Xenopus tropicalis: one gene and its partners. The protein of the gene in region 2 purifies or fractionates together with the protein of the main gene of each other region. This does not show direct contact. Links are inferred from orthologs where the notes say so. Each region holds a gene or a part of one and is shown on either strand. Other genes may lie near its edges.

Region 1 (8,286 bases), on a different chromosome or scaffold from region 2:
AAGGCAGTACTTAGGACTACTCCTGGTTTTCTGCTCAAGTTGGTGTCCAACTTCCATATAAACGCAGAGATCGTTTTACCTTCGTTTTGCAACAAACCTGGGAATGACAAGGAGACCAGACTCCACCGACTGGATGTGGTCAGAGAGCTTAAGACTTATATTTCTCGTACTCAACCCTTCAGGAAGACAGATTCCCTATTCGTGATCCCGTCAGGAGCAAAAAAGGGTCTCCCAGCCACGAAGACCACTATTGCACGCTGGATAAAGGAGACAGTAAGAAGAGCTTACCTGGCGCAGAAGAAGGTGCCACCAATCAAACTTAGAGCACACTCCACCAGAGCCCTGGGAACTTCATGGGCACACAGGAATTTTGCATCGGCTGAACAAGTTTGCAGAGCGGCCACCTGGTCTCTTCACACTTTTACAAAGTTCTACCAATTCAACACTTACCTGTCAGCGGAGGCAGCCTTCGGAAGGAAGGTGCTTCAGGCAGTAGTTTCCTAAATGGTCAGAGTTCTTCCCTCCCTACTGTGGGGTGGCTTTGGTACGTACCCACGGTCCCTGTGTCCCCCTAGACGTGGGAGAAAAGGAGATTTATATACTTACGGTTAAATCCTTTTCTCTCCAGTCGTAAGGGGGACACAGGGCTTCCCTCCCTGAACTCTTGTTCTAATATCTTCAGTCTTGTTGAGAGTTAGTTATATTCTGTTATGAGTTAAATCTTTGTTACAAACTGAACCCCTTCTGGTGTGACAGGGGATAAAGGGGAGAGGAGGAGGAGGGTCCACATCTCGGTTTCCAGTGTCCTGCCTCTTGATGGGAGGGGCCTTTACCCCACGGTCCCTGTGTCCCCCTTATGACTGGAGAGAAAAGGATTTAACCGTAAGTACATAAATCTCCTTTACTCTATCAAACCTTACCTTATAGACTGTGCTTAGTGATGTTATCAGTTCTAATCAATACTTAGGGGCCCATTCATTCATTAAAGTACGATTTAGTACGTATGAGAAAAATTCGTATTTTTTCTAATTGCTAGAACTTTTCGTATTGACCATGATAATATAGTTAAAATAGTACAACTTTTTTGTGGTTTTCATTAAAGTCCACTAAAAAGTTGTATTTTTTGCAAAGACTACGACCATTCCGGAATTCATTCAAGCGTTGGTATTGTGACTTTCTTTTGGCCAGGTTGGAGCTGTAGAGTGCCATTGAGTCCTATGGAAAGCTTCCAAAATCATGCATTGAAGTTTCAAAGCCAGAAAGGTTTTCGCACTGTTTATGATAGTTCGGATACAAAAATTTCGGGACTTTCGAATCGCAACCACAACTTATATTTTACTATAGGGGATACATTATTCACTATATAATGTGTTTTCCAGTAGTGGAGAAAAAAATAAAGAAAAACCCAAGAATCCCCTTGCCAATTAACTACAATAAAATGTACACTATCTACAAGACCTCAGATAGCTCAGTACATAGAGAGTCCTTGCAATTATACAGCTTCAATGCAGAGTAGCTAAGGACACCAATATATATAGCATGAGAACCTCTCACCCGAGTGTGTATATATCTAAAGGTTTTTCAGACTATGTTTTACATTTTTACATACTTAGAAAAGAGGAGAATGATTCTATGTTCTATAGCAGTGATCCCCAACTAGTGGCTCGTGAGCAACATGTTGCTCCCCAACCCTTTGGGTGTTGCTCTCCATGGCCTCAAATCAGGTGTCCATTTTTGAATTCCTGGTAAGAAGGGAAAGTTTTGGCTGCATAAAAACCCAGTATAATGCCAAACAGAGCCTTTTCTAGGCTGCCAGTCCACATAGGGGCTATTAAGTAGCCAATTTATAGCTCTTCTTGGCACCCCCAGGAACCTTTTTCATGCTTGTGTTGCTCCCCAACACTTTTTCCATTTGAATGTGGCTCACGGGTATAAAAGGTTGGGGATCCCTGTTCTATAGACTAACCATATATATGAAATATTAAGATAGGGGAGTCATCAGTTATATGTGTCAACTATCACAAATACAATACCACACAACAGAAGTTCATGCATTAAAACATTTATTGGGTGAAAAAAAAATAATTTTAACAAAAAACTACAGAGGTGTGTTAGAGCTATATTTCTCCCTCCTTTAAATAAGAAACATAGGCATCATGGAGCACTAAGACACCTCTGGGAACTGGGTTATGTAAACCTGTCTTTGACATGCTCCAGCTGTTAGTTTATATAGACTCTGAATTAAAAAAAAGAGAATTTGTCTACAGGTAATTAAGCCCTGTTCCTGTTATGGAAAGGACATTAAAAAAAACTTAAACGTGGTTGGCTACATAAGTGGTTAAGCAGCAGGAGGACCTGAAAGCATCCACACTAGATTTCAGGGGGTGGGGATGGGTGGTGGTGGTAATATATTAACAAGTGCAAATGTTACATTTAGGCCTAGTAATCCCTGGCTGCCAACCAGCAGGTGCTGTTTGAAAAGTAAAAATCTGAATTATTGCTATGGGTACCACTACCAGAAGCAAACCTGTGATTAGGTTATCCCACTAGTATTGAGCTTCTATGTGGAGAGGAGATTACCTGATGTAGTTTCACCCAAGCCTCTGAAAAATAATGTGAAGCTTTTGCAGATATCCTCCTGTCAAATACATGCCCTACTTGCACATATCAGACTACCAATGCTCAGTCATGCAAAGGTGTTCCATTTACCCTTTACATAACTTAGCACCTGTTTTCCCTCAACCTCAGCATACCTCACCCCTGCCTATAAGCTCATTCGCCCTCCCTGTCTTTACTATACAATTATGTTGGGTGTTTGCTTCATAAATAACTAAGACCTAAGACTCCCAGAAGCATAGCAAGATGTTACAAACGTATGCAGTTCATGCAGTAAGTTCTAAGGATATCTTTCTACAAGAAAAAAAGGTTTGCAGAGAGCCTTATAACACTGCTGCTTTCCCATCTAATTACAGTACCCAATGGTTAACCCACGGAGGCAAATATTTGTGCTGTGCAAATTCTCCCTTATTTAAGAGCTTATTTGCACGGGAAGGGGGGGAGCTGATTAATTTTTTTGTATGACTGTAGCACAATGTAATTCTAAATTATTCATACTTATGTTTGCAGTAATGAACTTCACGTTAGTTTTGCTTTGTAATATACATTTTGGCCTGGTCTGTGCATTCAGCTTTCACTGTAATTCTTTCTGGGTTTTCAGATGTAATTTTGTTCCTTTGCAATTGGACAAGTAACTGACCTTTTTCTTTGGTAATTTTGTTATTTTCCATGGAAGACAGATCATTCCTTTCTTTGCAACTTTGGGAAGGGCTCCTGTCTTTAATGCACAACACATACTCTCCATACTCACTCTTGTCAAACATTTTTTCAAAGCTGTCTTGACCTTTGCTTTCATCTTCTGTTGTATGGAAACTGATTATTATTTCACTAGGAAGGACTTTTGGAAATATATAAATAAACCACATGGTATACAATTAATAAAACGAGAGCCATGGAGGAAAAAGAGCAATGTGCACAATGGTGGAGTAGTACAGCAATTTTCTGTACTAATGCCGATTGTTATCACACTATCATATTTCTTTATATTGTTTAATACCTTCCCTTAGGACAGAGCACCTGCGAAGGGGTATGCAGACAGAGGGAAGAGGTGTGGTATGCTAAAGTTTAAAATCAATATTTCATTTTTTGCAGTAATCAAATACTCTGAATGAGTAATTGTGCATGATATATATTTATTATTAGCGTGATAACGTCCTTAAATTGTAAGCTTCATTGGGGCAGGGACTCATGTGAACGACGTATAATCACTATAAACTGCTACAGAATATGCCATATATATACAAATAAAAGAATAATAATAACATGAAGTAACTGGTCACACTTACCACTGTCACCTGGATCCCCCTTCTTCATTTTTAACAGGAAACTTTCACTAACATATGTGTAATCCATGTCCTCTAGCTCTGGCTTTGCAGGGCTCCCACCCTTTATAAAAGTAAAAAGTGAATATCATTCCGAAATGTAGTTCTGGGCATACACATATTAAAAATAAAACTTCATTTTTCTACCTTAGAATCTTCCATTGTCATGTCCATTTCATACTGCGACAAGTCAGCCCCTGGATCAATGCTCCACTGCATGTTATCTATTGGTGGCTTCCCTAAAATAGAGATAGATCATTGTCCCTATTTCTTAATAAAGTAAATTAGTTTCAAATGCTACAGCACATAACTAATTTAAATCTTAACTTAATTCATTCTTTGTTCCCTCTGAACTTGTTATTTAGCACAAAAATTGACATATGATTATTATTGTTAGGTTTTTACTCATTTCAGAATGTTTGATATTTTAGAGAAATGGTAATTCACAAACAATCATTGCCTTTTTTGTTTTGCCCCAAAGAAAGAACACTATGGGGCAGATTTATCAAAATGTAAATTCAATACATAAAAACTCACCAATGTTCTATTTATTCCTATGGGATTTTTAGAAATGTATTTATAAATGGGTGGAAGTTAGAATTCACCAATTGATAAATATTATTCTTAAAATCCCATAGGAATGAATAGAACGTGGGTTAATTTTTATGTATTAATCTCTAAACTCACATTTTAATATATCTGCCCCTACTTATCAAATAAGATTTACTGCACAAGACACACATGTTGTTGCTGATATACCATAGCTATAATGCAAGTAAAGGTGGCCATACATGGTGCGATCCACTCGTTTGGCGAGGCCAAACAATATCAGCGATATTGGGCTAATTCAATAGTTTGGCCCTAGGGCCAAATTACAGAATTAAAATGGCAGGTATATGGCCCGTTGGACTGAGGGCTGCATCAACGAGCTATGTGGTCACCAATACCATGGTGGGATGGTTGTCGTGCTTGCAGTTGTTGCACCAGCAACTTCAACTCTTTCAATTTTTTTAGTAAGGAAGACCCGCTGAGCATCCGTGTCTAACAACATGCCTAGAAAGGGAATCTGGCGATTCGGAATGAGGTGAGATTTGGACCCATTCACATTCCAGCTGAGGATAGTCAGGGATGCAATGCTATGGCCAGTTGTCATTTAAGCCGTAAGGATCGTCTTTCTGCAACAGATAAGGCAGATGTGTGGCTTACAACCTGTGCAGTGTCCAAGGACACTTCATCCATGTAATCGTTAGTCTCCTTGAGCTGAGTAGCCAAGAAGAGAATTTCTTCCCAAGGTAGGCCGGAGGTTTTCCCGTCTATAAGGGAAGTGGACCAGGACTGGATTGCCCTACTTACTGATGCAGAGGCAGAAATGGGTCGCAGGGATTTGCCACCTGAGGCAATGGCTGATCTAAGAAACCCTTCCAGTTTCTTATCCATGGGTTCCTTGAAGGAGGAAGTGTCTGGTACAGAGAGAGCTGTATTCTTGGAAAGGCAGGATACAGGATTATGCTATTAAGCTGAGCATGAGATGGGGAAAATGGAGGGACATTTTTTGTGGTGTTTAAAAAGAGACTGAGCAAGGTCAGGGGGAGCATCAGCTGTCTTTAGGTCTAGGCATTTGAATACCTGGAGATTAGGGCATCAAGATTTTCAGTGAAGAATTTTGGGAAGTCCTCACTTTCCTCTGCAAGGTCAGAAGAGATTTCCCTTCACTAAAGGATTGGTTGTCCAGGGGGAGGCTCTGATGCTGTCCTCTTGTGATTAGAGGAGAGGTGGGTGATTAGAAGTTTTGGCCCTGGTTTCTGATCCCCCCTGGTCATGTTTGTCTAGCAATTTATCTAGACAGGCTGCTAATTTGGGGATGCCTGTAAATAAATTTAAGGCCCAAGCTGGTGGGTGCTTGGTGGAAGTGTAAGGTTGGGCAGAGCACTCTAGTGTGAGTTGAATAACTCCTGCCTCTGGATCAATTTGTGGTATAACAGACATATCCTGGGACTGGAAGGAAGACTCAACAGAAAGCTTAGAGCAGGGAACACATAGAGGCTCTTTACACCCAGTGGGCAGCCTTTTGCAGCATTTGGTGCATGCCAACAATTTTACTTTAGACTGAGCGTGTGTGGTCCGTGTAAAGCCCCTCGTCCAAGTGGCTTTACCCATAAGCAAAAAACCTGTCCATATATATGATGCAGAGTGGAATGTGTTACAAGAGCTTGACTGTGAAGTGACGTCATGAGAATTTGCGCCAAGAGGAGAGAGCGTTGTTGACCGAAGACTATCTCAGATGACGTGATTGCCCTTGGAAAATTACCGCTTCCAGTGGAAGTAATGGGGGCCAGGCGGGGAGAGCACTGCTGGGAGGGGCTGAGCACAGATGCCAAGGGGGGTGGATGCTCTGCTCTGATGCTCCTAGATGGGAGCCTTGTATGGAAGTGCCTAGGTTGGATGGGCTATGATGCTATACTCATCAGTTATGAAGGCTGGGTTGTCCTCATGTTCCTTTAGAAGAATCTAGCTAGTGCTGGATAGATAGCTCCTGTTCCATCCATAGACATAGGATGGTAGGACAGTTAAGTAGTGCGCTTCTGTGGAGTCTGATCAATGAAGGGGGAAGCCCCTATTAAAGAATGTCACCTGTAAAGAGCTCTGGAACAACCCATGGTGCAAAGAAAGTACAGGCCACAGAAAAAAAAAACTAAGTTAGGCTAAGGTAGAGGGGTATAGCTCAGGGCAGGAGTCTTCTTCTTCTCCTTCTCTAGTGTCCTGCCTCCTAGTGGTGCATGCTATATCCCATGGTCCCAGTGCCCCACAGAACTCTGGAAGAGAAAGTATTATTTATCAGACAAAATATGATTGTGTTTTTTTAGATGTAAAATGAATAGAAAGGGGGCAGTGACTGGCCCAACAAACTACATTGGTTTAAATTGTAGTGCAGCCTTTCTCCTTTGGCACCAATAACATTTAATTTTGACTGATGCCACACACTGACATTAGCTTTCTTCTTTGTCTGCACCCAGAACCATTATGTCAGTGCAGGTGCAAGAGAAAACTTTGGAAAACAAAACAATGCATATGCCTTCCCATTGGCAAATTACCAGTGGGAAGGCATTTTCAGGAGATTAGTCGCCACAGTAGCCAAAATGTAACCGCAGGTGACTAATCTTCCTGTGGACCATGGTCCTTAGCGTACTTCACAGATTGCCCCAGGAGTGCCTTGAAGCTGACTGTGCATACACAACTGACAAACAAGACTGATGAAAAGTACTTGTGTGGTATGTCCCACATAGGCAGATCTTATTAGACATGACTGTAAGCTCAATTAGGACACAGACTGATGTTAACAATTAAACATGTGAACAATGTGAAATTCATTACAGTCAAGGGAATTATTGCACCTTGTTGAGATTCCGGGCAAGCCTGAACCATGTGCAAGTTTGGCTGAAGGACAGATGTCGGCTGGACACCTCTGTGCACTGATCTTGCGTTTCTTTTTGGCTCATGGACAGTTTCAATCTGAGGAAAGAGAGGCAAAAGAGTCCTTAATTATATATTAGCACATAAAAATCAGACTCCTACCATTTTTTAGCTGAGCTAATTAATACAAATGCAAATACCTCTTAACATTAAAAGACGTTTCAACCTTCTCTAAGGTTGTTTAGTACCCAGCATACAAACCTTTATAGGGCATATATCCCAAGTTTATCAGTAAAGCATTTCATTTTATATGCCCCTTTAAAAAAGCTTCAAGGGTAATAGTAATAAAAGTCTGCTTCTTTCAGTCTCAAAGTCACAGTTTAGCATTAGGATAAGTGTAGACTTGTGTACCCCAAACAGCTGAAGTCTGGGTCCTACAGTGCCTTACGTAACTACACCTCACGCTGTAATGCAGTGTGAGGTATAGAGTGCAGCATGACCAAGGACCCAAGTGCTTCTTGAATGAGCACTAATGGGTGTGAAATCACGCTTGCATTTGAGGTCATGGTAAATGACCCCCTAATGCCGCAATGTGTACATGATTTACTAAAGCAAAAAGTAATTTCTGGTAAACCATGTGCAAGTAGTAGCAAACACTAGGCCTGCTGTCTTGCTACCTTCCCCTTGTTCTGCTGATCGGTTTCTGTGGGGCGAAAGGGAGGGGGGGACAACACTTCAACTTGCAGTTCAGCAGTAAAGTCTGACTGAAGTTTATCAGAGCACAGGTCACATGGCTGTGGCACCCTGGGAAATTAAGAATATGGCTAGCCCCATGTGAAATTTCAAATTTAAATATAAGAAAAAATCTTTTTTTTTTTTCGTTTTTGAAAAACATGTTTTAATGCAGGATTCTGCTGGAGAAGCTCTATTAAATGAT
Region 2 (8,889 bases):
AGAAGATATTTAGTGGAACAAGTGAGGGGTTGATCAAGTTGGATGTAGAAAAGGACACAAGATGGGAATTTAGTTATTACGGCTAAAGAGTAATGGAGTGTCAGAGTGCTAAAGAGAAAAGGGGGAAACATGAAAAAGCAAAAATACAAGAGGGATATAAAAATATAAGAGATGAGATCATTTAGATAAGAAGTGAGGTAGGAAGAAGTAGAGCAAGCCTCCAGCAAAGGAAACATTCCCATGGAGATAACACCACAGAGCAACAATAGAGGGTATGTATGAGAATGCCCATCTGCACAATGTCTATAATGATGCAGATGGCTCAAGATTTACTACTGGGTATAAAATGTCTGTGTATGTTGTTTGCATTTATTTAGTACTGCCTGGCGCCCCCTCATCATTGTGCCCTAGGCAGGTGCCTTCTGCCTACCCCTAGTTCCGGCCCTGCAACCAGCACTCGGCCCCTTGATGTTGCTAACATACAGTGCAATGCTCATATAGCCTACAGTTAAATAGAGTGGCTGTGTGCTCCAGTAAACTGTTTGATATGCCGGTGAACATGCATGCGACTTGATCCCTGGGAATGGGCCCTCATGGAGCTAGTGGACAAAGGGTGTTACTAAACTATAGCCCTCATATTGATTAAATCAGACGGACACCAGTTATGCTTAAAACAAATGGTTAACTCTTTATTTACAGAAATGTAGAATAACATCCAAAAAGAGATGAACTACCAGTATTCAGTAGTTACTCAAATGCAAAGATTCAAGCCAGTGCTTTACCCATCAGGGGGTCAATAGTGGAACAGTGGGTTTAGTCAGCTAGGAAGTGTCCAATCCCCAGTATCAAGTCCTACAGTTGAAACCTAGACAAGCTACAGTAGCCCCGAAGTCTGTACACTTGCTACTCTAATCCTATCTCTCAGTCCTGGAGGGAACTATTACAGAATTATCCTCTTTACATACTGGGTCTACCTCTGCCCAGGGTCTAACCTGCATCCACCGTCCTGGAATGTAGAATCCAAAGAAAGAAGGTGAACATATGTTGCCCTCCCCTTATAAAGAACAGAACAATGACATCTAGTGGCCAGTTACTGAACTGTAATCAGCTTAAAAAAGGAACTAAAATGTTCTGAAAGCTTGCTATAATTATCTTAGTTAGCCAATAAATGTATCACCTTTATACCACTTTTGTTATTTTTTATTTCAAAAGGGTTACCCTGTAAACATTTTTGACTGGCTAACACGATAACACCTTTTCCTGCATGAACTGCCAGGAAAATACTTCAAAGGAATACTGTCATGGGAAAACATGTTTTTTTTCAAAACACATCAGTTAATAGAGCTTCTCCAGCAGAATCCTGCATTTGTTTTTCAAAAGAGTAAACAGATTTGTTTACATTTAATTTTGAAATTTCACACAGAGCTAGCCATATTTTTCATTTTCCAAGGTGCCACAGCCATGTGACCTGTGCTCTGACAAACTTCAGTCACACTTTACTGCTGAGCTGCAAGTTGGAGTGATATCACACCCCTTCCAGCAGCCAATCAGCAGAACAATTGGAAGGCAGCACGATAGCAGCTCCCAGTAGATACCAGAATAGCACTCAATAGTAAGAAATCCAAGTCCGGTTACATGGGAGTAGGAGAAACAATAGGTTACCTGAAAGTAGTTCTAATGTGTAGCGCTGGCTCCTTCTGAAAGCTCAGACTCAGGCACAATGCACTGAGATGGTGCCTACACACCAATATTACAGCTAAAAAATTACATTTGTTGGTTTAGGAAGAAAATTTTAAATGGTAGAGTGAATTATTTGCTATGTAAACAGTGTAATTTAGAAATAAAAAGTATACAATAAAAATCATGACAGAATCCCTGTAACCCAGGATAAGGAACAGCCTTCCCTCCCAACTGTAAATTAGGACACACTTAGATGCCTAAATGGGAACTGCCTGAATAAAGGGTAACTAAACCTGCAGTCCCCTACACTCAAATTATGCAACAGTTGTGAGTACAACTTTTCATGGGTGTAACTTTGTATATGACAGACTACATGTGCCGACACTGGTAAGGCCTGTGGCACAAGGGGTGTTTTGTTGACCTTGTGGCACAAGGGGTGTTTTCTGCTAAATGCCATATGTAGACAAAAGGCCCTGTGTGCAAACAGACTGACTCTGCATAAGCCAGAGCATTGCTGCATGCATAACTGCTCTTTGTGTGCTGTATCAGAGTGTCACTGTTGGTCAGAAAGCAGCACAAGAAATGTAACTGTGCCAGTATAGCCTAAGATAATAGCACCGATATGGGACAGGGATCACTGTTCCAGCATTAAATAAGGTCAAGTTGTAATAGGAAAACCAACAAATTATAAATGTGAAATGCACCTGTAGGTGATGCTAATACACACACCATGCTAATGAATGTTCTCCAACTGTAACTTCTTTATCCAGTTCTGTTCTGTCTGAATATAATAGGAATAAATCTTAACTTCCATCAGCAGCCTCAAACCCTACCTAGTAGTCATAATAACAAGTGACAGGGGAATGATCTAAGGTGGAGAATATATTATAAATAGTGCATTTTGGGAGTTACAGTATTTTTATAAATTACTTAAGGGAAGTTCACAGGGAGTGCTTTAAGGTACAGGTATGGGATTTAATATCGAGAATGCTTGGAACCTGGAGTTCTCCATATAAGGGTTCTTTCTGTAATTTGAATCTTCATACTTTAAATCTACCAAAAAATAATTTGAACATTATATAAACTCAATAGGATTGTTTTGCCTCCAATAAGGATTAATTATATCTTAGTTGGGATCAATTAAAAGGTGCTGTTTTGTTATTAGAGAAAATGGAAATCGTTTTTTAAAAATTGTAATTATTTGCTTAAAATGGAGTCTATGGGACATAGCCTTACCGTAATTTGAAGCTTTCTGGATAACGAGTTTCTAATAACACATCCCATACCTGTACTTTGAGCACTGTGTTTTTAAGTAATGATACATTTCAAGACATATATCACCTGACAAGCCCAAACACAAGCACATCCCAACACATGTCTATAGGGGGGTCCATTGGGGAAGTTTGGTGCCATGTTTTGGGGCTACTTTGAAATGTAGAGTTCAAAGTGCTGAAAAGCTGCCCATATGCCATTACTCTTGGAAGCAGCCAGTAACCAAAGTTGTTTAACTACTTTATAACAAATGCGACTATCTATAATTCCCCAAAAGTGACAAGTTCATATGTCCATGGTCAGTACTCAGTGTACACTAAGGGGCACATTTACTAATCCACAAATCCGAATCATGAATGGGAAAAAATCGTATTGGAAACAAAAATTTCGTAAGATCGCAAATATCACGAAAATGCTTACAAAAAAATCGTATTAGTCACAATAATATTGTATTGGCGATCCGAAAGTCACGAAATTTTCGTAACGAACAATTGTAAACAGCGGTAAAACCTTTCCGATTTTTTCGTGGAAACGTCCGAAAAAGTCGTGCGCCGTACGAAAAAGTCATGCGGGCGCCCGAAAAAAATCGGCGAAAATACTCTCGGAGCGTTCATGCTTTTGTACATGTGCCCCAAAGAAATTGTTCTTTTTTTGAAACTGAAAAAGTGTCTTAGAGAATGCCCACACTTTCACAGGCCTATGCAGGATACACATTTTGTACCAGTACTGATGCATTATGGGTACAAACTTTTGTTTGCACTTAGCTCTTTACCTGCTGTTATTAAATGTGGTCCAAATGATTCACAATTTTAGAAATTGATAATTATATCCTTCATGAGGTGGAGATACTAGAAGTCTCTAAAAAAAGACACAAGTCCTGCTTGTGTGGCCAGGCAGACAGCAGCTATCACTCGCTCCCAAGTATGTGTGATTATACAAGATACTGCCCTGAAGAGTCCAACATGGCTGAAATTACCAGACTGTTTTAACAAACAAGCCGCAGGTCTCAAAAATAAAATGATGGGTGCAGTTTGATTTGTTGAACCACACACCAATCAATTGAGTACATATCCCTGACTGACATCTGCTCTGAAATCAGCCATGTCAATCGGGCAGGTTTGATTTTTCCAACGGATTTGGCCATAGATGGGCATAGGGGGACAAGAAGATCCGCTCGCTTGGTAACCTTGCTAAGTAAGTGGATCTTAAATACCAAATTGACTTGACTCAAACTTTTTCACCTCAGCAATCCCATGGGAACTCCATTTACACCGTGACAGGGTTTTAAGCCATTTAACAGGATTTAGCAGTGACTGAGACAATAGAACGTATCAATGCAAATAAAGTCATTTATTAATGTGTAACTGAGTGATTAAATGATAATGTTAGGAAGAAGGTGTCCCTGTCACCCTACATGGAACGCAAGGAACGTAAACGCCTAGCTCTCCCTTGCGTCACTACGCGCTCTCCCCTGCGTCACTACGCACTCCCCTCTGCTCGTCGGGCTCGCCCACGGCGCCGGGCGCTTTTCTCTTTCAGTGAGCGCGCACGCATCCCTACAGCGCCTCAGCTCAGCCCATGGTGGGGCGCGCACGCATCCCTACAGCGCCACAGATCAACCCATGGTGGGGCGTGCGCGCTCCCCTAGCCGAATAGTCGGAAAGCAGTTATGGCAGAGGAAGGAGGTGGAGGTAGCGAAACGGGACCGGCACAGGGTAGCACACGAACACCCTCCCCAGCGCCGACACCGGAACCGGGCACAAGTGCGGACACTGAGACCCAAAAGGCCGAGCTCGGGGACTTACTGAAATCAGCGCTAAAGAAAGGAGATGAGTGGTAAGGAGAGGCCGCTGTGTGTGTGTAGTGGGAAGCTGAGGTGGGAGAAGCCAGGCGGGACCGTAACTTATGGCAGAGATAGCGGCTGGCGAGTTGCCGGCCCGGGGTGCTGTGTCATTGGCTCCATGGCGGAAGCGTTTGCCTGAGTGAGAGAGAGAGCGCAGGCCTGAGCCGGCACCACGAGGGGACAGCCTCTCAGCGGGTTCAGTTTGCGCCAATAGCGAAGTCTGGAGCGGCCGCGGTCACGTGACTGCTTCCTTTAAAGTAAAAGCGATACTAACTTGTCAATTGTCTCAGAACGGAGAGCGGAAGTTCCCGGAAGTCACGGCAACAAGTCACAGTGGCGCTATCTCTATGGTTAATGGATATATGTGTGTATAGATTCCCCTCAGACATTGTGCCCCGGAAGCGCTCTGAGCCTGCAGCGCCCCCTGACTGTAGTTATTGTATGATGGCTTCTGGCAACTTCCCTTTGGAAATTCCCATTTGGGGACTTATTTTACATACAAATACAACACCCCCCTGGGGGGCTTTTAATCACAAGGTCCATAAGAGTAAAGAGGTCAAGTGGCTTTTTTTTTTCTTGTGCCCTAAAACCCGTCACAATCTCCCTCAGTAATACACTGTAGGGGGCCTAAAAGCATTTGCTCTTATTCTTTATCTGACTTATGCATTGTATTTGTGCAGCCCAACCTTTTCTTTTTTTTTTTTTTTGTCTTCGCCTAATATATGTGCTCACCTAGTGTGCCAAAAAAGCTCCCTTCAGTACCAGGCCTTTGTGCAATATTTATGGTTATTATGACAGGACACAATGACACAGTAGTCAGAACTGCTGCCTTTTGCAAGTAGGGGTCTGAGATTGGGCTGGGCGATATACCGTTTAATACCGAATACCGGTGGTTTTTTTTTTTAAAAAACTATATTCATTTTTCAGATCCTGCAATACCGGGGTGTCGGGGTACTCACCCGTGCGGCCCGGTCTCGCATGCGTCCCGTTGTCCGTGGGATGTTGCGCACGCGCGTCCAGGTGCGCGTGCGTCAAAGCACACGTACATGTCAAAGCGTGCACATCCGTGACGCGCTGACGGCGCCGGTTCTGCGCATGCGTGGGGGGTATTTAAAGCTATCAAACGCCTCCTCCTGTGCTATGTTGTCTGCGGCCTTGCCTGGGAAACTAAGCCTGCCTGATTTACCTTACGACTTTGTTGCCGATCCTTCGCTTGCCTGACTCTGATTTTCAATACTGCAGTAATTATTCTCTAATTTATTAGGAAATGGGGTTAACACCTAATCATGCATGGAAAAAAAAATACCGTCAAATACCGTGACACCGATATAATTTTGAAAAATACCGTGATATAAATTTTTGGTCATACCGCCCAGCTCTAGTCTGAGATCCCATCTGAGGGAATACGAGTAGGTTGATTGGTTTCTGTTGAACCAAACAAGTTTGTGTTAACAAATTTAGATCATAAGCCTTGCTGAAAACAAAGGGCTTTAAAGATTTGGGGACTGTTGGATATACTGTCTTCCCCAGACCTCCATTCCATGATTCAGCGATGTCCAGCTTGCAGTTAGCAGGCTAGAAGTTCCAAATTCTCAATGCGCACATATGATTGTAGTTCATAGATGTGTAAATGATGTCAATGTAAACCTTTGAGTAATATTTGCATATCTTTTATTTGTTAAGAACAGTTGTTCTCAAACTGCTGGGTTGACCTTTCAGGCCAAAGACTGATTGTCAGAGTCAATGGTGATTTTCTTGTTGTGGTCATCGAGCAACCATTTTTAAAGGCATTAGCTAAAGTTCCCAACTTTTTGCACATAGGCAGATAATGGTGGTAGAACTAAACCTGAAAAATTAATATGGCGAGAAATGCCATATTTTATATACTGAACTTACTGCACAAGCCTAGAGGTTCACCATATTTGTAGCAGCAATGATCTAGGACAGTGATCCCCAACCAGTGGCTCACGAGCAACATGCTGCTTACCAACCCCTTTGATGTGGCTCCCAGTGGCCTCAAAGTTAGTGCCCATTATTGAATTTCTGACTTGGAGGCAAGTTTTGGAAGCATAAAGACCATGTGTACTGCTAAAAAGAGGCTCTAGTAGTCTGCAAGTCCACTTTGGGCTACTAACCAATCTGAACCCATACAGGTCACCTACTAGGAAACTTTTTGTGCTTGTGTTGCTCATTGGTAAAACATAACGTTTCTGCCCTACTTCTTTCTTTAAAGGGTTTGTAGGGGCAAGGGCTGCATCAGTAACAGCGCTCCTAAGCTTTGTGTGTTGTGAAATGCACTTAAACGGAAGGTGGCCATACACTGGCAGATTTAAGTCACCAGTTCAGCGGATTATCTGCCTGTATATGGGGACCACTGATGAGCCTACCCACAAACAAACAGATCTTATAGTGTATGGATGTTTGGAACAGATGGTCAGGGAGTGCTTGAGTCTTACATAATATGTGGAGGTTTCCTGCCATTATAATATGTGGTATAATATAGGACCTAGTTAATTTTCACTGTAGGTGGCCTGCCTAATGTTTATACTATGCAATTAATGTTTTATCATTCATGTTAGCACTTTAAATTAGAATGTGTGATCACTTTCAGTACATGGAATGAATAGCCACCCTCCTGTGCAGCTTTGATGAGTTGAGACTGCCTGGTAATAGTCATCAGGCGAGAATCAAGGGCCTTTGTGCAGCTATACATTTAGTTACTAGTTATCTAGAAAATGTACCCCTAGGACAAAGTTTTGGAAGCCAAGTTAATATATTTTGTGTGTTATGCAAGCCTGGTCAAAATCATATTAAGGTGCTTTGTTTGTTTATGCTGGAATACACAATTGCTCCACATGATGGGAAAAGCCCCTGTTCCTAATCCTTTAGATGACATTGGAGCCTGCTTGGCAGGGAAAGGCTTACTTCTATGTTTGGGTGGTAGCAGAGTTTTGACGGTGACCTGCATGCCAGTGACTCAGCACAGAATATGACAGCCATGAATTAAATGGGGAACTATTAAAAGAGTACATATAGGTTCCACTGCCCGCAGTGGTGTATAATTACAGCTGAATGAAAATGTTTGGCCACCCCCTGGCAAATAACATTATAGTTAAATTTAACTGTAAAGTAGTAAACAACTACTACAGAAATCAGTGTGTTAAAAAAACAACATATTTGCAGGTGGTAATGCCCAATTATATTGGATTTCATGAACATTGAACTATAGTAACACCGAAAATAGTACTTGTGGAATGTGCTAATGTGTTATTCCACTCAGATCAGTACTCTGAGAAATGCCTTTACCCTTTGAGTACAGTAGAACCCCATTTTCTTGGGACCAGAAAAAAACTGTAAAATCAGGTGTATGCATTAAATATCGGGGCCAAAAAAGTGTAAAATGAAAGAAAACTTAAAATCAGTGTATATAAAATTGAGGTTATACTGTTTAGAAATGTGTAGTAAGTAGAGGGTACTACAATCTAGAAAGTGTAGTCAGAAGTACAAAAATTCTGTGTCAAAAACAATGGGCATATAATTTAACATTTATTACAGTAATTTTAAAAGCAAAGTAGCTTTTATCTACAGTATGTTACATACAGTAGGGTATTTTCTGGCATTTAGTAGCAATGGAAAAGTAGCTGCTACTAGGAGCTCCGTGTGTCTTCACCCTTACACTTTAAAAACGAATCTCAATAGTAACAATGTTAGAGGGCCATGAGAGTTCATCTTTTAATTCATTACTATCTTTCCATCTCATCACATTTGGAGCTTTTACCATATTTTAATTGCTGTTGAAAGCAGTGTTTGTGTGGCTGATTATATTCTCTGCACTAATGGTGTTGATTTCTGAAACTGTGTTGGAGAAGCAACTAATTAACTGACCGGGGGAGACTGCACTTCTGCTACATTGTTTAAAAAGCTTGAAATGGTGAACAGAAAATGATAAACAAATACTGCTTTCAAATACATTTTATAAACAAATTGAAAACCATTTAAAATGTGTGTGTTCCCTGAAATTGTGTTTTCTTTAAATAGGCAAAAAAAAAAAAAACAGCTAAACTACCAAAGGGTGTTCTGCAGTGTCGCGCATT
Region 3 (8,286 bases), on a different chromosome or scaffold from region 2:
ATCTATCATCTATCTATTTAATCTGTATGTCTGTCCATCTATCTATCTATCTGTCTGTCTGTCTATCTGTCTGTCTATCTATCTATCATCTATCTATTTAATCTGTCTATCTATCTAGCTGTCTATCTAGCTGTCTATCTGTCTATCATCTATCTATCATCTATCTATTTAATCTGTCTATCTATCTGTCTATCATCTATCTATCTATCTGTCTATCATCTATCTATCTGTCTCTATCTATCTATCATCTATCTCTCTATATCTAGCTCTCTCTTAGTAGGTCTTCCACTGGCATATTATTGAGTTCTGTCTATCATCTATCTATCTGTCTGCCTATCTATCTATCTATCTATCATCTATCTATTTAATCTATCTATCTATCATCTATCTATCATCTATCTCTATCATCTATCTATTTAATCTGTCTGTCTGTCCATCTATCTATCTATCTGTCTATCTATCTATCTATCTATCTATCTATCTATCTATCTATCTATCTATCTATCTATCTATCATCTATCTATTTAATCTGTCTATCTATCTAGCTATCTGTCTATAATCTGCCTATCTGTCTATCTATCTGTCTATCTGTCTGTCTATCTGTCTGGCTATCTGTCTGTCTATCTGTCTGTCTATCTGTCTGTCTATCTGTCTGTCTATCTGTCTGTCTGTCTGTCTGTCTGTCTGTCTGTCTGTCTGTCTGTCTGTCTGTCTATCTGTCTGTCTATCTGTCTGTCTATCTGTCTATCTATCTATCTATCTATCATCTATCTCTCTATATCTAGCTCTCTCTTAGTATGTCTTCCACTGGCATATTATTGAGTTCTGTCTATCATCTATCTATCTGTCTGTCTGTCTATCTATCTCTATCATCTATCTATTTAATCTCTCTATCTATCTATCTATCATCTATCTCTGTCATCTATCTATAAAATCTATCTATCTATCAATCTATCATCCATCTATCTATCTATCTATCTATCTATCTATCTATCTATCTCTCTATATCTAGCTCTCTCTTAGTAGGTCTTCCACTGGCATATTATTGAGTTGACAATACAGTGACTTTTTGTATATGCTGGAACAGTGGCAGTGGCCAAATTACTAAAAAAATATGGTTGCCTGTTTAAAGGAAAACTAAGCCTACTACGAGTCAGGAAACTGTTGGTTTCAGAAAGCAAGTGCAAATGTTTCCGTACCCACTTGTGAGAGATGGAAGTGTCTGATTGTTGTGTTTCTTTGCACAGTGCAAGTCGTGCTCCGAGCCCAAGATGATCACCAGCTCATCGGCCATCTACACCAACCCCAACCTCATCAAGCCCATTGCTGTTAAACCCAGTGAGTCCCAGCCGGGAAAGGTGAGAGCGTTAGAGGTGAGAGCAGTAGGGGCTTAGGGTTGTGCTTTCCTAACTGTGACCCACCTAGAAGGGAGCAGTGGCCTACCCTAAAGGTCCCCATACACGGGCCGATAGTAGCTGCCGATATGGGTCCCTTAGACAGACTCGGCAGCTAATCGGCCCCTGTAGGGGCACTAACGACTGGCCTGCCCGACCAATTTCTGACCTGAAATCGGGCAGATATCGATCAGGCAGGTTAAAAAATCTAGTCGGATCGGGGACCGCATCGGCTCGTTGATGCAGCCCCCGGACCGACTTTGCCTATACCCGCCGTTATAATTTGATCGTTTGGCCCGGATTCTCCCGATACCGCCCACCCGTAGGTGGGGGATATCGGGAGAAGATCCGCTTGCTTGGCAACATCCCCAAGCGAGCAGATCTGAAGGGGTATGGGCACCTTAAGGCCAAGGAGTAATCTCTGTAAACTGCGTGAAAACAGAACCCCTACACCAAGGTTCCTATATAGAAACATGGCCTGACCCAGTACCCATTTATTGGGGCTTTATGAATACTTCATTAAAGCTTAGTAATAGTTTATCAAATGTGATGGTGTAATAATGGTCTGTAAGCCACAGCAACCAATCAGATGTTTGTAAACAACAGACTGATAAATATAACCTGTTGATTGGCTGTTTTGGTTTACTTGAACTGTAGCAACTTTTGCACCAGTTATTACTTTCCATTACATGTATGAGGGCAGAAAACCTACCATCAGCCAGGTTGTTAGGCACCCCCTAGTGGTCACGCCCAGAGCGACCATGATTGGTGAGCAGTACTGTATGCTCCAGCTTGGCAATTGGGTAGCCAGAGCACCGAAAACGAGTGAAACTTACAGTCACCATAGTGTTAAACTGTGACTATGTTTTTTTTTTTATCCTTCCTTAGGCTGTGGAGTCAGAAAAGCAGCATTTATCTCTTACAGCTCTGTTCGGGAAGCCAGACAAAGCACAAGAGCAGATGAAGCTTCATTCCGAACCCGGCGCTGTGCGCCACTCGGTGGTCCGTTCCCTCTCGTATGAAGAACCTGGGAAGGCGACGGAGAATGTCGAGAAGCAGCTTTGCCCTGCCATCCAGAAACTCATGGTGGCGGGAAGTGGGCTGCAACCCGTCTCCGAGGTTCCTGAGAACAGGCCGTGCCATAATGGCAGCTATCCCCCCGATGGGGACATCCTCCCTGGCCTGTTCATCCCGGTGACGCACCAGGCTCCCTTTTCCAATCAGGACTATGAGAGCGGGAAAACTCTCTTGCAAACCCTTCACACAGCCCCAGTGGGGGGACCCAACGCCGACATGGTGTCCTCGTGCGCTGCACACTCACTTAATTACCACGACTGCTCTCTGCCGAACCAAAGGACTTCAGCCCCAATGCCTCCATTGCCTTTGTCTTCTCAACCTGTCATGGCCTCTGGCACCATCTCCCCACAGGAGCTGCTCAAGAAGCTAAATCTGGTGCGCCAGGAGCAGCAAATGCAAAGCAATCCCAGGCCGGCCCTAGCGGCTAAATTCCCGGTGGTCTCCCAGAGCGTGCCGAAAACATCCTGGGTGGAAAATATTCCTCGGGCTGAGAAACAGAATCTGCTCCTTCAGGTATCCGAGTAACAAGAGTATTAAAACAAAGTGGTAATATATAGGTATGGGACCAGAATGCTGGGGTTTTCCGGTTAAGGGATCTTTCCGTATTTTGGATTTCCATACCTTACGCCTGCTAAGAATCATTTAATATTGAATAAACCTAATAGGATTGTTCTGCCCCCAATAAGGGGTAATTATGTCTTAGTTGGGATCAAGTACAGGTACTGTTTTATTATTACAGAGAAAAGGGAATCATTTAACCATGAAATAAACCCAATAGGGCTGTTCTGCCCCCAATAAGGGGTAATTATATCTTAGTTGGGATCAAGTACAGGTACTGTTTTATTATTACAGAGAAAAGGGAATCATTTAACCATTAAATAAACCCAATAGGGCTGTTCTGCCCCCAATAAGGGGTAATTATATCTTAGTTGGGATCAAGTACAGGTACTGTTTTATTATTACAGAGAAAAGGGAATCATTTAACCATGAAATAAACCCAATAGGGCTGTTCTGCCCCCAATAAGGGGTAATTATATCTTAGTTGGGATCAAGTACAGGTACTGTTTTATTATTACAGAGAAAAGGGAATCATTTAACCATGAAATAAACCCAATAGGGCTGTTCTGCCCCCAATAAGGGGTAATTATATCTTAGTTGGGATCAAGTACAGGTACTGTTTTATTATTACAGAGAAAATGTAAATAATTTTCAGAAATTAGAATTATTTGCTTATAATGAAGTCTATGGGAGACGGCCTTTCTGTAATTTTAGAACTTTCTGGATAACGGGTTTCCGGATAAGGGATCCCATACCTGTATCTAGATATATACATGCATGCAACTGAATTTAATGTCATATTGTTACATGCATTTTCGTTTTCTGACAAGACTCTTGGCACATATTCTCAGCTGGCAGGGAAGTGCCCATATGTGGTTCTGCAGTCTGTCATTTTGTCATTTATGTAAATGTGATCTACCATTCTAAATGGCATCATGGAAACCCACGCTTTGCACCATGGGAAACTCATAGGATAGGAATCCCTGGAACAAGGGAAGCAATATAGCAGCTTCCCTCCAAATATGTATATATATATATATATATATATATATATATATATATATATATATATATATATATATATACAGAGAAGAAATGTTCTCTATACTATAAACTATATTATATTGTTCTAAAAAACAATATTGCAGCTATTTCCCATATGTATAAATGCAAGGATACAGAGAAGGAATGTTCTGGGCACACAATAAGCTGTACCCCCATACTGTACTGTCTAAGGGAAACACTATGGCACCTCCTACCCATATGTATAAATACAAATATACAGAGAAGGAATGTTCTGGGCACACAATAAGCTGTACCCCCATACTGTACTGTCTAAGGGAAACACTATGGCACCCCCTACCCATATGTATAAATACAAATATACAGAGAAGGAATGTTCTGGGCACACAATAAGCTGTACCCCCATACTGTACTGTCTAAGGGAAACACTATGGCACCCCCTACCCATATGTATAAATACAAATATACAGAGAAGGAATGTTCTGGGCACACAATAAGCTGTACCCCCATACTGTACTGTCTAAGGGAAACACTATGGCACCCCCTACCCATATGTATAAATACAAATATACAGAGAAGGAATGTTCTGGGCACACAATAAGCTGTACCCCCATACTGTACTGTCTAAGGGAAACACTATGGCACCCCCTACCCATATGTATAAATACAAATATACAGAGAAGGAATGTTCTGGGCACACAATAAGCTGTACCCCCATACTGTACTGTCTAAGGGAAACACTATGGCACCCCCTACCCATATGTATAAATACAAATATACAGAGAAGGAATGTTCTGGGCACACAATAAGCTGTACCCCCATACTGTACTGTCTAAGGGAAACACTATGGCACCTCCTACCCATATGTATAAATACAAATATACAGAGAAGGAATGTTCTGGGCACACAATAAGCTGTACCCCCATACTGTACTGTCTAAGGCAGGGATCCCCAACCTTTCTTACTCGTGAGCCACAGTCAAATGTAAAAAGACTTGGGGAGCAACACAAGCACCATAAAAGTTCATGGAGGAGCCAAATAAGGGCTGTGATTGGCTATTAGGGGCCTCTATGCACCCTATCAGCTTACAGGGGGCTTTATTTGGTAGGAAATCTTGTTTTTATTCAACCAAAACTTGCCCCCAAGTCAGGAATTCAAAAATAACTCCCTGGTTTGGGGGCACTGAGAGCAACATCCAAGGGGTTGGGGAGCAACATGTTGCCCCTGAGACACTGGTTGGGGATCACTGGTCTAAGGGAAACATTATGGCACCTCCCTCCCATATGTATAAATACAAATATACAGAGAAGGAATGTTCTGGGCACACAATAAGCTGTACCCCCATACTGTACTGTCTAAGGGAAACACTATGGCAGCAACCCACCTCTTGGTAATGTGTCTGCCAGCAATAAGCCTGTAATATGCTGCCCTTTCTATCCACAGCAAGCCTCCTCTCCTCAGCATATCCCAGCCTCTGTGTCACCAGCACTGCTGATGTCCCCCATGGTATTTGCCCAGCCAAGCCTGCAGACCAGGACAAATGAAACAGCCAACCTCTCCCTTTGTACCAAAGAGCCCTCCAATCTGCTCTTCCCCGCTGCATTCCCAGAGAACCCCACGAACACCATGAATAGCTGGAACGGCGTCCTCACTAGGAGTCAGCTCCAGGAGACCCTGCTGCACCTTATCCAGGTGAGATCTGAGCATAGGGCTACAGAGAAAGTGTGTGTGTATATATATATATATATTTATATATATATATATATATATATATATATATATACAATCCAGAGTGGGAGCACACCATTAAGTATAATAAAAACCTAGGTGCCAGAGCTGAAAAAAATCTACAAACCAATTCAAAGTGTCGGCACTCATAGGATTTCCGCAACAAAAGCACAGCAAATAAAGTTTCTTATTAATGCAGGTGATGTGGTTTATTAATCCGACGTTTCAGTCCTTTACTTGGACTTTCATCTCCCTGATGAAAGTCCAAGTAAAGGACTGAAACGTCGGATTAATAAACCACATCACCTGCATTAATAAGAAACTTTATTTGCTGTGCTTTTGTTGCGGAAATCCTATGAGTGCCGACACTTTGAATTGGTTTATATATATATATATTTATATATATATATGTATGTATGTATGTATATGTATATATAATGTAAAAGTAAAAAAAAAAAAACCCCACAGTTCTCTCATATATATAATGCAATTTCTGGTGAGGAATAAATCAGGACACCCCAGCATTTAGTCCCGCCTAAAATGGCTCAAATCACACACAGGTGTATCACATCAGGTGCACATGATTAGAACTGCCTGAGGCCCTTAGGCTGATGCCACACCAGGCGTAGGGCTGATTTTTTCGGCAAGCGGAAAAACGCTTGCCGAAAAATCAGCCCTACGCCTGCTACTTGTGCCTGCACCCGAATGAATGGAATACGCTCGGGTGCAGGCACATGTAGCCGATATACGCACGAAAACGCGCGAGAATGCAAAGTCTCGCGTTTTCTTGCGTATATCGGCTACATGTGCCTGCACCCGAGCGTATTCCATTCATTCGGGTGCAGGCACAAGTAGCAGGCGTAGGGCTGAATTTTCGGCAAGCGTTTTTCCGCTTGCCGAAAAAATCAGCCCTACGCCTGGTGTGGCATGAGCCTTACAAAGAAGATTGTAGCAGCTTATAAGTCTGGTAAGGGATTTCAAAAGATCTCAAAAGAATTTGAAATCTTCCATTCCACTGTCTGGAAAATATAGACCCAAGAGGAGCACTCAAAACAAAATTAACCGCCTGGGTGCTGATAAAATTTAGTAAATAGAAAGAATCGGTACCACCGCACTCGCAATCAAAAAAGGTTTATATAATGGTTAAATGATTCCCTTTTCTCTGTAATAATAAAACAGTACCTGTACTTGATCCCAACTAAGATATAATTACCCCTTATTGGGGGCAGAACAGCCCTATTGGGTTTATTTCATGGTTAAATGATTCCCTTTTCTCTGTAATAATAAAACAGTACCTGTACTTGATCCCAACTAAGATATAATTACCCCTTATTGGGGGCAGAACAGCCCTATTGGGTTTATTTAATGGTTAAATGATTCCCTTTTCTCTGTAATAATAAAACAGTACCTGTACTTGATCCCAACTAAGATATAATTACCCCTTATTGGGGGCAGAACAGCCCTATTGGGTTTATTTCATGGTTAAATGATTCCCTTTTCTCTGTAATAATAAAACAGTACCTGTACTTGATCCCAACTAAGATATAATTACCCCTTATTGGGGCAGAACAGCCCTATTGGGGTTATTTAATGGTTAAATGATTCCCTTTTCTCTGTAATAATAAAACAGTACCTGTACTTGATCCCAACTAAGATATAATTACCCCTTATTGGGGGCAGAACAGCCCTATTGGGTTTATTTAATGGTTAAATGATTCCCTTTTCTCTGTAATAATAAAACAGTACCTGTACTTGATCCCAACTAAGATATAATTACCCCTTATTGGGGGCAGAACAGCCCTATTGGGTTTATTTCATGGTTAAATGATTCCCTTTTCTCTGTAATAATAAAACAGTAAACTACTTTCTGGGTCCTGGGTGTATATGTATATATATATATATAGCAGCATATTTATAGGCCCATGTGGGCTGAACCCTCTTCTCTCCTTAATCCCACATACCAAAACATGAACAATTAATTGTATAATTCCCCCCCCCCCTTGCACTTGACTCAGGTGTCCACTAAACCCTTCTTATTTTTCAGAACGACGACAGTTTCCTGAATACAATTTACGAGACTTACCTTTCGGTGCTAAGACGGGGGGGAACAGGCGGACGGAAGATCTAAATATTTCCTACTCCGTGTAGGAACATTCCTTTTGGATATTACAGGGTTCATGCTTAGATGCACAAACTAATCCTTGGGGGGGGGGGGTTGAACCCAGCTTATAGGCTTTACGGCAAAATAGAAGGAACCATTGGTAATACATTCCTAAATCCAGTATCTTGGGGATGACGAGTAAAGGTCAACTAAACCCTTTTTTAATTAATATATGGGATATAAAGGCAGACGGGACGAACTGAGGATGGGAGGAGATCTAATCTGGCAGAAAGTAAAGTAACTGCAATAATAAAGCAACTGCCATTAAGGGTTTGTCCCAACTAGGCCCAACCTCCTCTATGAACCTGCTCTGGGGTAGATGAATCTAGTTACCCCACAGTATTA

Evidence for each region. Proteins that work in one complex are often made in the same cells at the same time.
Region 1: the proteins of usp4 (region 2) and rbbp8 purify together in Homo sapiens (affinity purification with western blotting; 3 studies listed by BioGRID, with this or other methods). This does not show direct contact. The link is inferred for Xenopus tropicalis from reciprocal best matches to the Homo sapiens genes USP4 and RBBP8.
Region 3: the proteins of usp4 (region 2) and dcp1b purify together in Homo sapiens (co-immunoprecipitation; 3 studies listed by BioGRID and IntAct, with this or other methods). This does not show direct contact. The link is inferred for Xenopus tropicalis from reciprocal best matches to the Homo sapiens genes USP4 and DCP1B.

What each region holds. Positions count from the first base shown.
Region 1 is NC_030682.2:108,920,505-108,928,790, reverse strand, and holds part of rbbp8 (DNA endonuclease RBBP8), read right to left. Parts: intron 7,449-8,286; coding exon 7,331-7,448; intron 4,178-7,330; coding exon 4,086-4,177; intron 4,003-4,085; coding exon 3,903-4,002; intron 3,455-3,902; coding exon 3,257-3,454; intron 1-3,256. UniProt on the Homo sapiens protein: Endonuclease that cooperates with the MRE11-RAD50-NBN (MRN) complex in DNA-end resection, the first step of double-strand break (DSB) repair through the homologous recombination (HR) pathway.
Region 2 is NC_030680.2:125,797,868-125,806,756, forward strand, and holds the start of usp4 (ubiquitin carboxyl-terminal hydrolase 4), read left to right. Parts: upstream 1-4,469; 5' UTR 4,470-4,621; coding exon 4,622-4,788; intron 4,789-8,889.
Region 3 is NC_030679.2:9,164,254-9,172,539, forward strand, and holds part of dcp1b (mRNA-decapping enzyme 1B), read left to right. Parts: intron 1-1,247; coding exon 1,248-1,373; intron 1,374-2,282; coding exon 2,283-2,984; intron 2,985-5,495; coding exon 5,496-5,744; intron 5,745-7,824; coding exon 7,825-7,908; 3' UTR 7,909-8,286. UniProt on the Homo sapiens protein: May play a role in the degradation of mRNAs, both in normal mRNA turnover and in nonsense-mediated mRNA decay. May remove the 7-methyl guanine cap structure from mRNA molecules, yielding a 5'-phosphorylated mRNA fragment and 7m-GDP.